3 linked regions of the Mus musculus genome follow. The protein of the gene in region 3 interacts with the protein of the main gene of each other region in a pairwise test. Links are inferred from orthologs where the notes say so. Each region holds a gene or a part of one and is shown on either strand. Other genes may lie near its edges.

Region 1 (3,710 bases), on a different chromosome or scaffold from region 3:
TGGGACAGCAAGGGCTAGAGAGAGACCATGTCTCAAAGACTATAAACAGGCAAATAACTTTTTTTTTTTTTTGAGTGAGTCTCGTGTAATTCAGGAACTGAGTCTGGCCTCTATCTTGCTATGTAGTCAAGGATGCCCTTGAACTGATATTCCTGCTTCCACTTTCCCAAGCGTTCAGTTGAGGGGCTTGCTGTACCATGCCCATCTTAGGTTTTCTACAGATCCTCTCACTGATTCTGGACTTCTGCAATAAGGCCCACTGTAGTTTTAAAAACCTACTCTAGTAACGGACAATGAGCTGTGAAGCCTTAGTCTCTAAGCTGAGGTGATGATGATCACCTAAATGAAGTCACTGACTGAATCACAAACAACAAAGATCTGGGCCAGCAAACAGAGGCTCCACTCTCCTCCTAGTTCCTGACTCAAATCTGAAGATAGTTCTATCTGTGCTGGCTGTTTCATAGATAAACGTCCTTCACATATGTCCAAAGAATCAGGGAAATAAAGAGCCAGACAGTTAACCAAACGAAATTACATTCCAAGAACAGTCAGGTCAGAAAGGTCAAACTAAAATATCCAAGTAGGATGTAGGCCCCAAGAGGAGGATGGTCACATCAAAGTCTATCTCTAAAGCTGCACAACATATAAACCTCCAAGTTCAGAACATAAACCTGCTTCCCAATCAATAAAATGAGAATAGCAAACATCAAACTCACAGTGACTCTGAATTATAAACGATAATCTATAAAAGGTGGCCATATGCCTGTGGTAATGAAAGTTCAAAGACACTCTGAAACTTGAGCAAGACGTCTTGCCCTAAGAGCCTCTCTCTTTTCTGGTAAATACATGAGACTGGGTGCAGAGAGAAAGCAACGAAGCTCATAGCCTAGGATAAGTGTGGGACCCGCTGAGAGACAAGTGTTTGGAACCTGACACTAGTTATTTCTATGCTCCGGTTTCAGACCCTTCATTTGTTCTTTTAGGTCTCCATTCCTTCCCATCTGAAGTAGCTCTGTCATGGATAAGACTTAAGATTCACCCAGAAGAAAATAGGACTGGAGTGAAGCACTGCCTGTCTCTAAGCCACAGAGCCAGTTAGAGGATCCTTCTCATTTACCCACCTTGAAGTCAGTGCTTGGACGGGGAGAACCATTTTTCCAATGGCAAGGTCCTGCTGGGAGAACCGGCATCACGTCCATCCCCAGTCCCCGTTCTCTCCTCCCCATCCTGACTCCACTCTGCCGCCCCTGTGTTACTCACCTTGTACTCCTGCACTACCTCCTCCAATGGCACCACACTATGCTGTTTGTGGCTCCTGGATTCGCGGCACACCACACAGATGGCTTCTTCATCCACCTCACAGAACAGCTTCAGGGCTTCTTGATGTCTCGGACAGATGCCTTGTTCATTCACACGGCTCCCTCGCCCAGGAGTTGGGTGCATCTGACGGATCACCTGGACCATGTTGGCCAACTGCAGGTTGGGGCGGAAGCTCCGCCGAGGAAAACTTTTTCGACACTGGGGACAAGTGAAGCATCTCCGAGGGGCTGGAGGTGGCGGCAGTTGGGTGATCGGGTCTAGCTCCTCTTCCTCGTCTTCCTCCAGCACTTCCTCCTCCTCGTCCTCATCTTCCCCTCTCAGGTCCGCCACATCCCCCAAGTAATAGTCCAGTTCTTCCTCCTCCTCCTCCTCCTCCTCCTCCCACACATAGTCCATGTTGTCCCAGTTAGACCCACCTATACCACTACTCCAGAACACTTCCTCTTCCTCCTCGGCCTCCTCCTCCATGTCACCCTCATAATCTTCTTCCCGCATAGGGGTGTCCCAGCCCCCGCCAGCCCCGACAGCCTCCACTTCTTCCTCCTCTCCGACCTCCTCCTCCTCCTCCTCCCGATCCAACTCATCTCTGTCTTCCTCATCCTCCCCGCCCCACAACTGGGTTACACACACTCGGCAGAAGTTGTGCCCGCAGCCGATGGACACCGGGTCCGTGAAGTAATCGAGGCAGATGGCACACACCGCCTCCTCCTGAAGGGTCTGCACAGGGTTGGGTGTCATGGCAACGGCAGCCATCTTAGTGTCCAGTCAGCCAGGGTAGAAGTGCGGTGGGGGGAGCGGGGGGTGGGGCGGGGGGGTCTCCCTTTCCCGAAGCCCCGTCCCCACCCCGAGCCCAACCTCTCCGCACCTTGCCTGCGGCAAGGCCAAAGGAATGTCCTCCGACCAGCCCACCCCGCCACGCACAGTCCCCTACCCCCAGACGACCACCGTGTCTCACAGAGGGGAGGGGACAGAGGGGAGCCCCACCGACAAGCCGCTCAGGTGGACCTGAGTGCAAATCTGCCCCAACGCTCCCCTGGCCTGCTCATAAACCCCCGCCCCTCCTCACTTCCTGGCCCCGCCCCCCGGCTTCCGGCCTCCCTCCCAACGCTTCCGGCGTCTCCGCACTACCTGAACTCACGAGTTCCCGGCGAGGCACCGCCCCCTTCTCCCACGCCCCGCCCCAGGCTGCAGAGCGACCGGAAACGAGAAGGAGACGCTCTAGCTGACACTCGGGAACAGGACGGGAGGGCTAGGACGGCGGAGGCCCACGTCTCGGTGATGACTGGCCGCGAAGAACGCGTACGGAGCGGAAGGCGCCCCCATGCCCTGCCAGCGGGAACGGACAGCGGAGGGTGGCGAGGACGTTGAGCAGCGCCCTGTTCTCCGTGCTCCAACCGCAGCGGCCTAGCGCCATCCTACCGACCAGGCACGGACGATTGCAGAAGGGACTCCCAGGACCAGTGCCGGAAGCTGAGGGGCGGGCCCGCTCAGCGTCCTCATATTTCCGGCCCCTCTAGACCCGAAACTTGTTCGTTCGTTTGCGAGTCCGGGGGTCCCTCCGAGCGGGATTCTGGGCGGAGCCTGACGAAACCGGCTGGGACTGGAGCGAAAGGCTCCGCCCTCCCGCTGGACTGGGCGTTTTCTCGCCGGCTTTAGGAACTGCCACTTTGCTGGCGGACCACAGCGCTCCTGCAAGCCCAGCACTGTAGAGGCAGAGGCCGCGGAACTGTGGCAAGTTCCATGTTTATCAAACCTGGACTACAAAGTGAGACCCTGTCCCAGAAAACAACCACCAACCAGTCAAAGCAAGCCAGCAAAACAAAACCAAATCCTGCCAACCGGTCACTTGTCCCATCATTTATTATTAATATCCACATCCATATTAAATGCAACAGTGTTCAACTATATGACAGAGAATCTTTGGAATGAATTAAGTTTAAAAAGTGAAGGTGGCTGAACACTGGAGTATATATAGGAGGGCAAGCAACGTTAAGTGTATTCGGTACTCTGAATGGCTATATAAAGTATATAGTAATATAACGTAAATCATATAAAACAAATCAGAGTTGTTGCCTCACAGGATTTTGTGAGGATGTCGTCATGTAAAACGGTCAGAACGGTTTCTAGTATCTGGTAAAGAGGTTAAGGGCTAGCTACTCTACCATATTCTCGTCTATAGAAGAAAACAGAATTTCTCTAGGAAGGCTGGCCGGCCAGTAAAGACACTTTTCCGAAAACATAGTCCTTTGGGTTTTGAGACAAGTCTGTGTGTTCTCATTAAATAAACATATTTTTCAAGTGCTATGGGTTTACTCAAACTTTAGTACTTTATGTGGGCCGTGCATACCTTTCATGTCTTTTCATCCGAAATGGAAATTGTTTATGAGAGA
Region 2 (3,747 bases), on a different chromosome or scaffold from region 3:
CCTCACCTCACTGCTACCCTCCGCTTCATTCCACAATGAACCATTCCAGAAGCTTACAAATAAAACCCGGTTAACTCCCGTGCCAGCTTTCTCTTCAGGCACCATCTAGGACGGCAGCGCCACGACCCTGCTAAGGGTGACAAGTTTCCAAACAGCCGGGAGAAGGGCAGCGAGGCCGGCCCGCCCCCCACGCCTGTCCGGAGGGGACTAAGGCCTAAGCATTCTGTGCCCAAAACCAGTTTGACCCGGACTTCATAATCAGTGGAGAGGAGTCTCGCCAGCTGACCCACGCGGGGGGCGGGGCTGGACCATCCTGAAAGTCGGGAGACTTCCCCTGCCTCAGTTTCCCTACAATGTGTCCCGCAAAGCCAGCATAACACAATGCCCACTCACACCACCACCACCACCTTCTTTGATGCCCAGGGACACCCAACCCCGTGACGACCCCTCCTCCAATAAAGGGACATGGCTGAAGTGGAAGAACTGGTGACCCTCTCCCACGTGACTGGGATGTGATGGCCGCTCCCCGGACCCCCGGGAATCCCTCCAGCCCGTCCCCAGCCAGGCACACACGGACCCTGTAGAGAAAGGTCCTGGGGGGTGTGCGGGGCACAGGATTCACATAGGGGCGGGGGCCACGGGACTCACCCCAGATCGGGGCGCGGCCCGCCCCGGGCTTGGCAGTTTCGGGGCGCAGCCCGGGCCCTCCCTGCTACGCGGCAGTCCCGGGGCAGGGCAGGGCCGATCGCACGCACGCCACTCGCCGAGACCCCCGCGAGCAAGAACCGGGCCTCCCGGGGTCGCGAGCGCGCGGGGGCGGCGCGGGCGGGGCCGTTGGCGGCGGCGCGGGCCAGGGGCGGGCGGGCCCGGGCCCCACGTGTCCCTGGCGGGCGGGCCAATAGGCGCCCGGCTTTTGGAAAGATCGCCATATATGGACATGTTCTGGGGCCGCGCGCGCCCCCGCCCGCGCGCGCGGCCCGCTCCCGCTTAAATAGCGGCGGGGGAGGCCGCGGTCGGTCTCACACTCCGCCGCCGGCTTACACTGCGCTTCTTGCCGCTCCTCCGTCGCCGCCGCGTCCTTCGCCGGTAAGCTGCCGCTCCCCGGGCTTGGCCCAGTGACTTCCTGTGGCCCTTTCTTCCCGCTCACCCTGCCTGCCGCACCGCTGCGGAGCGGAGCGGAGCGCAGGGCGCCTGACGGGTGGGCCTGGGTCTGCAGCCGCGGCTGGGGGCAGGGCGGGGCCCGACGCAATGCGCAGCCCCTCCTCGCCGCGGCGGAACGGGGCGCTGCCGGTAGCCGACGGTTACGCCGCCCGGGGTGGGGACTGCACTCCTCCGGGGTGGCTCGGCCCTGGCCGAGGACATTTTCTGAGTTCGGTGAGGGCTGCGCTAATTCCGGGGCTTCTTCCTGCGCAGATCGCAATGGAAGAAGAAATCGCCGCACTCGTCATTGACAATGGCTCCGGCATGTGCAAAGCCGGCTTTGCTGGCGACGACGCCCCCAGGGCCGTGTTCCCTTCCATCGTAGGGCGCCCCCGACACCAGGTTAGTTGAGAGGAGTGGCCTCCCTTGTGTTCTCTCTGGGCCCGGGTCGCGCGGTGGGTGGGGCGAGTCTGACCGCGGCCTTTTCTCTCGCAGGGCGTCATGGTGGGCATGGGCCAGAAAGACTCATACGTGGGTGACGAGGCCCAGAGCAAGAGGGGTATCCTGACCCTGAAGTACCCTATCGAACACGGCATTGTCACTAACTGGGACGACATGGAGAAGATCTGGCACCACACCTTCTACAATGAGCTGCGTGTGGCTCCTGAGGAGCACCCGGTGCTTCTGACCGAGGCCCCCCTGAACCCCAAAGCTAACAGAGAGAAGATGACGCAGGTATGCTTGAGCCGGGACCTTGCCTCCCCTTGGGCGTGACGAGTCATTTTGTGTTGTGCCTCATTTCCTGACATTCAAGCGTTTCTTTGGTGTTTCTAGGGTTCTGTTCCTCTTCTCCTGGCATTTCCTCCCTGAAGCCTCCAGGTTTCTGTTTGCGTTTCTGCTTGCGTTCTGTTCTTTTTTTCTTCACACATCACATTTGTGGCATGCAGCATGCAGAGTGTGGGTGTGGGAGGCTCAGGGCCCCTGCTACTCACTCACTCAGGTGTTCTTTGTCTTTCCACAGATAATGTTTGAAACCTTCAATACCCCAGCCATGTACGTGGCCATTCAGGCGGTGCTGTCCTTGTATGCATCTGGGCGCACCACTGGCATTGTCATGGACTCTGGTGACGGGGTCACACACACAGTGCCCATCTATGAGGGCTACGCCCTTCCCCACGCCATCTTGCGTCTGGACCTGGCTGGCCGGGACCTGACAGACTACCTCATGAAGATCCTGACTGAACGGGGCTACAGCTTTACCACCACTGCTGAGAGGGAAATTGTTCGTGACATAAAGGAGAAGCTGTGCTATGTTGCCCTGGATTTTGAGCAAGAAATGGCTACTGCTGCATCATCTTCCTCCTTGGAGAAGAGTTACGAGCTGCCCGACGGGCAGGTGATCACCATTGGCAATGAGCGGTTCCGGTGTCCGGAGGCACTCTTCCAGCCTTCCTTCCTGGGTAGGTGTCCACAACATGATTTAGGAGCCAAGGGGCTCTCAGAAGGGATGGAACACACAGAATGTAGTGGCTAAATGAGCTCTGTTCCCTAGGCATGGAGTCCTGTGGTATCCATGAGACCACTTTCAACTCCATCATGAAGTGTGATGTGGATATCCGCAAAGACCTGTATGCCAATACAGTGCTGTCTGGTGGTACCACCATGTACCCAGGCATTGCTGACAGGATGCAGAAGGAGATCACAGCCCTAGCACCTAGCACGATGAAGATTAAGGTGAGTGGCTACCACCCGGCCTGAGCTGGCCTTAGGACCTGTGGCTGGGAAGTGGGACCCACAGGAAGGGCATGAGTGCTCATTCAGTGTTTTTCCTCCACAGATCATTGCTCCCCCTGAGCGCAAGTACTCAGTCTGGATCGGTGGCTCCATTCTGGCCTCACTGTCCACCTTCCAGCAGATGTGGATCAGCAAGCAGGAGTATGATGAGTCAGGCCCCTCCATCGTCCACCGCAAATGCTTCTAGATGGACTGAGCAGGTGCCAGGCATCTGCTGCATGAGCTGATATTGAAGTATCAATTTGCCCTGGCAAATGTACACACCTCATGCTAGCCTCATGAAACTGGAATAAGCCTTTGAAAAGAAATTTGTCCTTGAAGCTTGTATCTGATATCAGCACTGGATCGTAGAACTTGTTGCTGATTTTTGACCTTGTATTCAAGTTAACTGCTCCCTTGGTATATGTTTAATACCCTGTGCATATCTTGATTTAGTCCTTAGTTCATGTGGCTCGGTCACTTGGGGGCTGGGGAGAGCACGCTGTAGATGAGAAAGCCCCAGCCTGGTGGATCTCTGTGAGCACCACTGAGTGATCTGTGCAGGGTATTAACCAACAGCAGACTTCCAGGATTTCCTGAGGCTGGCAAGGGTTCCTGAACCAGTTACCACTCCTTCTTGCCAGTCTAACAGGGTGGGAAAGTCCGAGCCTTAGGACCCAGTTTCAGTTCTGGTTTCTTCCCTCCTGACCACCATCGGTTGTTAGTTGCCTTGAGTTGGGAACGTTTGCATCGACACCTGTAAATGTATTCATTCTTTAATTTATGTAAGGTTTTTTGTACTCAATTCTTTAAGAAATGACAAATTTTGGTTTT
Region 3 (3,747 bases):
TGTAAGACAAAATAAGTAAAATAGAAGGATATGGAAGATCAAAAGACTATCTACACACAGCAACACGGTAGAACCTGCTTAATTGGCATCCATGAACTCAGCAACTTTGGAACCCATGCTTGTAGACAATTCTGTACCATTAGGAAAAGAGAACCCACTGTGCTGCCACCTAGCTGTATCCCTATTCCTCTGCCACTTACAGAGGGACTAAGTGATAGGAGGCTTTGCTGTTGAGGAGCACTGGCAGAACCTGATTGGAACTGCCCTTTGAACTTTGTTCCCTAAATGCCTTACTTGCCTTTCGCTGGTTCTGCTCCCACCGAGGTGCCAACTGTAAACATCCAAGCCATTTAATGGATTTATATTAAAGCCTTCACCAAGAACCCACTGTGGGAGACACCACAGAAAGTTCCGTGCTCAATTAAAATAAAAGTGCAAACCTAATGGCCAGTGACCGAGTCCTACAGATGGAGATTATAAAGTGTCTTGAGATGACTCCAAAGAGGGCTTATTATCGATCCTTGCTCCAAGGGGGTGGGGTGTAATAAGGCCACTCAGTGCTATTAAACCTTGAACTCTACCTGCTCAGGTTCCTAGGATGCTGGGACTGATTTCTCCTAGACACCATACCTAGAAGTAACATTCCTAGAAATAATATTTAGACATTGTTAAAACTTGTGAAACATCAGTGAAGATTTACAAGTACGGTTTTACTTGTCAACCTGCACACTGTCTTCTGTCCACTTGGTGGACTTTGGCAACCAAGAGGAGCCATGCGCAGCTGGAAGGACCGTGCCCCAGGCTGTTTTAGAGGGAAGAGACAAGGCATGGTTTATTGTCAGGCTGCAGCCTACGTCCAGCCCATAATATGTGTGCAGTTCCTGGATGAACTGTGAAAAATCCCAGCCTTTAGGAGGGACAGAACTAGAGAAGGCCGGGGCTTCGTGCCCTGGTAAATGGCTGTTTTGTGAACATGTGATTGACGTTGGTGGTGTGACCCAGCAGTTTGGCTTGCCTGTGGACATTCCCTTTGGAAGCATAGGAAGATCGCGCTCCTTGGAGCGCAGCCCGCCCCAGGGAGCACGAAGTGCAAGGGGCAGGAGGCGGTAGCAGCGGCTCCCATTGGCTCAGAGCACGCCCCTCCTCTCAGGGCGGCCCAGAAAAGGAGCCCCGGGCTGCCCCAGACATCAGAGGCGCAGGATACCTTGAGAAAATGGCTGAGTATCTGAGGCTGCCCCACTCCCTGGCTATGATCCGCCTCTGCAATCCACCGGTCAATGCCATCAGGTAACACCGCCCGGACAGTGGGGTGTGGCGGGTCTAGGAGGGGGCTTGTCTCAGCTGGAAGGGCGGGCCAATGAGCAGCTGGCTCCGGCCTTCCTTCTGTCAGCTGTTGACCTCACTGCGAGGCCCACGTTTGGTTCTGGCGAATCAGGAACTTACAAAGGTGAGGTTGATGCAGCAAGTGTCTGCTTGAACCCCTTCCTGCAACCTTACTGCCGGCTTGCAACCCCAGCGTCTCTGTGATGCCAAAAGCTATAGTTAGCTGACTCGTAGAAAAGCAGAGTTTAGTGCCTTGAGTGTCAACTCTCCCTGTCAGAGGAGGCCTACTGGATAGTATTTTCTGAAAAGCTGAAGTTTCATTTACACCACCTGCAGTGCCCTCCTGTGCAATGCACTTAGCACATTACTATTATAAATGAGATCTGTCTTCTTGAAAAAATGATATTCATTTACCCTGTTCACTCCATATCACCGGCGAATAGAGTATAATTCTATATTAGCCTCAGGAGGAGTCACCCATACATTGCAGAAGTGGTGGACAGGATTGTGACAGATACTGTATAATTTTCACTGGTGAGACCTTGCTAAAACCCTTTTCTCAGGTGAGACCTTACAGTCTAAAGGACAAACCTAGGTACAGTTCCAGCCCTGTTCACTCTGCAGGGGACCAATGCAATGGATTTAGGCTTACTTTCAGAACAGGGTGGTGCGCTGGGGGCAGGTTGGGGGAGGGGAGGGCGGGGACAGGAGCATGAGTGACTTTAGAACTGCCACATTGGAATCAGCCCTCCCCAGCAAAGATCATGACTCCCCGTGGCAGTTAAGAACCCCTTCCCCAGCCGAGCGTGGTGGCGCACGCCTTTAATCCCAGCACTCGGGAGGCAGCACTTCTGAGTTAGAGGCCAACCTGGTCTACAAAGTGAGTTCCAGGACAGCCAAGGCTACACAGAGGAACCCTGTCTCGAAAAACTAAAGAAAAAAAAAATAAATAAAGAACTCCCTCCCCTAATCCTTCCCTACCTATATCCTCTAGTCCTTCCTAGAGACCCAAGGGTACAATTAGGGCAAAGAGGGGTGGCTGGATAATCAGAGTGTTCTGGTCCAGTCCTTCTATGAAAGTCTACCACCAACAAGCCCAGCATTGGCGATCTTTGGCAAACAGGCTCAAGCCAAACTTGCAGCAGTTTGGCTGGGAGAATAGTCCTGTACAATGGATGAGAACAACTAACCGTTCACCCGAGAGAGGGCATCTGTGACCGGCCAAGTAAAGGATTCCACCCACGTCTAGCTCGGTAGATTAGTGACTTTACTGAGGTCAGTTACAAGAGTATAGTTGCTTCTGAAACAACGGAACCCCTGGAAAGCCCACCCCAACTCGTGAGGAGCCCCCTCCTCACAATTGCTTCTCTCCTGTAACTTTGGAGACGGATCTTATGAAACTTACAGGTTTCTGAGCTTCCTGGGGCGTCTTAAACATCAGTAGATGTGTTTAGCTTTCAGTGCCCTGTCAGTCTCTTTAGCGTCCCCAGTCTTAGCCCCTTCGGGAGGGAATGCGTCAATCCCAAGGAACTAGCAGCACAGTAGCAGAATAAATAAAGTAAACATAGGCCATTTGAAAATTCCCACCACCAGCTGCTGGAGCAAAACCAAACAGATGCCGGGGTGGCACACACCTGGAATCGAAGCATTCAGGAGACTGCGGCAGAAGGAACTGTTGATCTATTCAGACCCTGTCTCAAAAAAAAAAAAAAAATCTTAAAAGCAAGCAAACAAACAAACAACAGAAAAGAGGAGACATGTTCATTTTAACTGAGATTTAAAACCACACTGTTATTAGATTTTATTTTTTAAACTTAATTATTATTATTATTTTATGTGTATGGGTCTTTTACCTGAGAGTATATCTGTGTATCACATGCCCTGGTACTCATGGAGGCTAAAAAAAAAAAAAAGAGAGAGTTTTTTTTTTAAGATTTATTTATTTATTTATTATATGTAAGTACACTGTAGCTGTCCTCAGACACTCCAGTCAGATCTCGTTACAGATGGTTGTGAGCCACCATGTGGTTGCTGGGATTTGAACTCCTGACCTTCGGAAGAGCAGTTGGGTGCTCTTACCCACTGAGCCATCTCACCAGCCCCCAAGAGAGGTTTTTGTTGTTGTTGTTTTGGGTTTGTGTTTGTTTGTTTTGTAACAGCGTCTTTGTAGTTCTGGCTGACCTGGACTAGCTATGTGAACTAGGCTGGCCTTGAACTTGCAGAGAGCCACTATCCTCTGTCTCCCAATCACTGGAATTAAAGGTATGTGCCACCACACTTGACTTAATACTGTACTTATGTTAATATGAAGGATGGCATTGATTAATACATAATGTGCAAAAATTACTGGCTACTTTGGGCAGGGCAGAAGCAAATTATTGATCATGCCAGTCTCACTCTTGATCTCAGCCCAGAAACCAGGAA

The links.
Region 1: the proteins of Ehhadh (region 3) and Trim41 interact in binary tests that used the Homo sapiens proteins (3 or more experiments, as listed by UniProt). The two-hybrid records come from large-scale screens. The link is inferred for Mus musculus from reciprocal best matches to the Homo sapiens genes EHHADH and TRIM41.
Region 2: the proteins of Ehhadh (region 3) and Actg1 interact in binary tests that used the Homo sapiens proteins (3 or more experiments, as listed by UniProt). The two-hybrid records come from large-scale screens. The link is inferred for Mus musculus from reciprocal best matches to the Homo sapiens genes EHHADH and ACTG1.

What each region holds. Positions count from the first base shown.
Region 1 is NC_000077.6:48,814,583-48,818,292, forward strand, and holds the start of Trim41 (E3 ubiquitin-protein ligase TRIM41), read right to left. Parts: upstream 2,810-3,710; 5' UTR 2,074-2,809; coding exon 1,261-2,073; intron 1,247-1,260; exon of another isoform or gene 1,227-1,246; coding exon of another isoform or gene 1,122-1,226; intron 1-1,121.
Region 2 is NC_000077.6:120,345,764-120,349,510, reverse strand, and holds the start of Actg1 (actin, cytoplasmic 2), read left to right. Parts: upstream 1-1,015; 5' UTR 1,016-1,086; intron 1,087-1,413; 5' UTR 1,414-1,419; coding exon 1,420-1,542; intron 1,543-1,635; coding exon 1,636-1,875; intron 1,876-1,974; exon of another isoform or gene 1,975-2,019; intron 2,020-2,097; exon of another isoform or gene 2,098-2,161; coding exon 2,162-2,600; intron 2,601-2,692; coding exon 2,693-2,874; intron 2,875-2,977; coding exon 2,978-3,121; 3' UTR 3,122-3,747. UniProt on the Homo sapiens protein: Actins are highly conserved proteins that are involved in various types of cell motility and are ubiquitously expressed in all eukaryotic cells.
Region 3 is NC_000082.6:21,785,247-21,788,993, reverse strand, and holds the start of Ehhadh (peroxisomal bifunctional enzyme), read left to right. Parts: upstream 1-1,159; 5' UTR 1,160-1,213; coding exon 1,214-1,287; intron 1,288-3,747. UniProt on the Homo sapiens protein: Peroxisomal trifunctional enzyme possessing 2-enoyl-CoA hydratase, 3-hydroxyacyl-CoA dehydrogenase, and delta 3, delta 2-enoyl-CoA isomerase activities. Catalyzes two of the four reactions of the long chain fatty acids peroxisomal beta-oxidation pathway.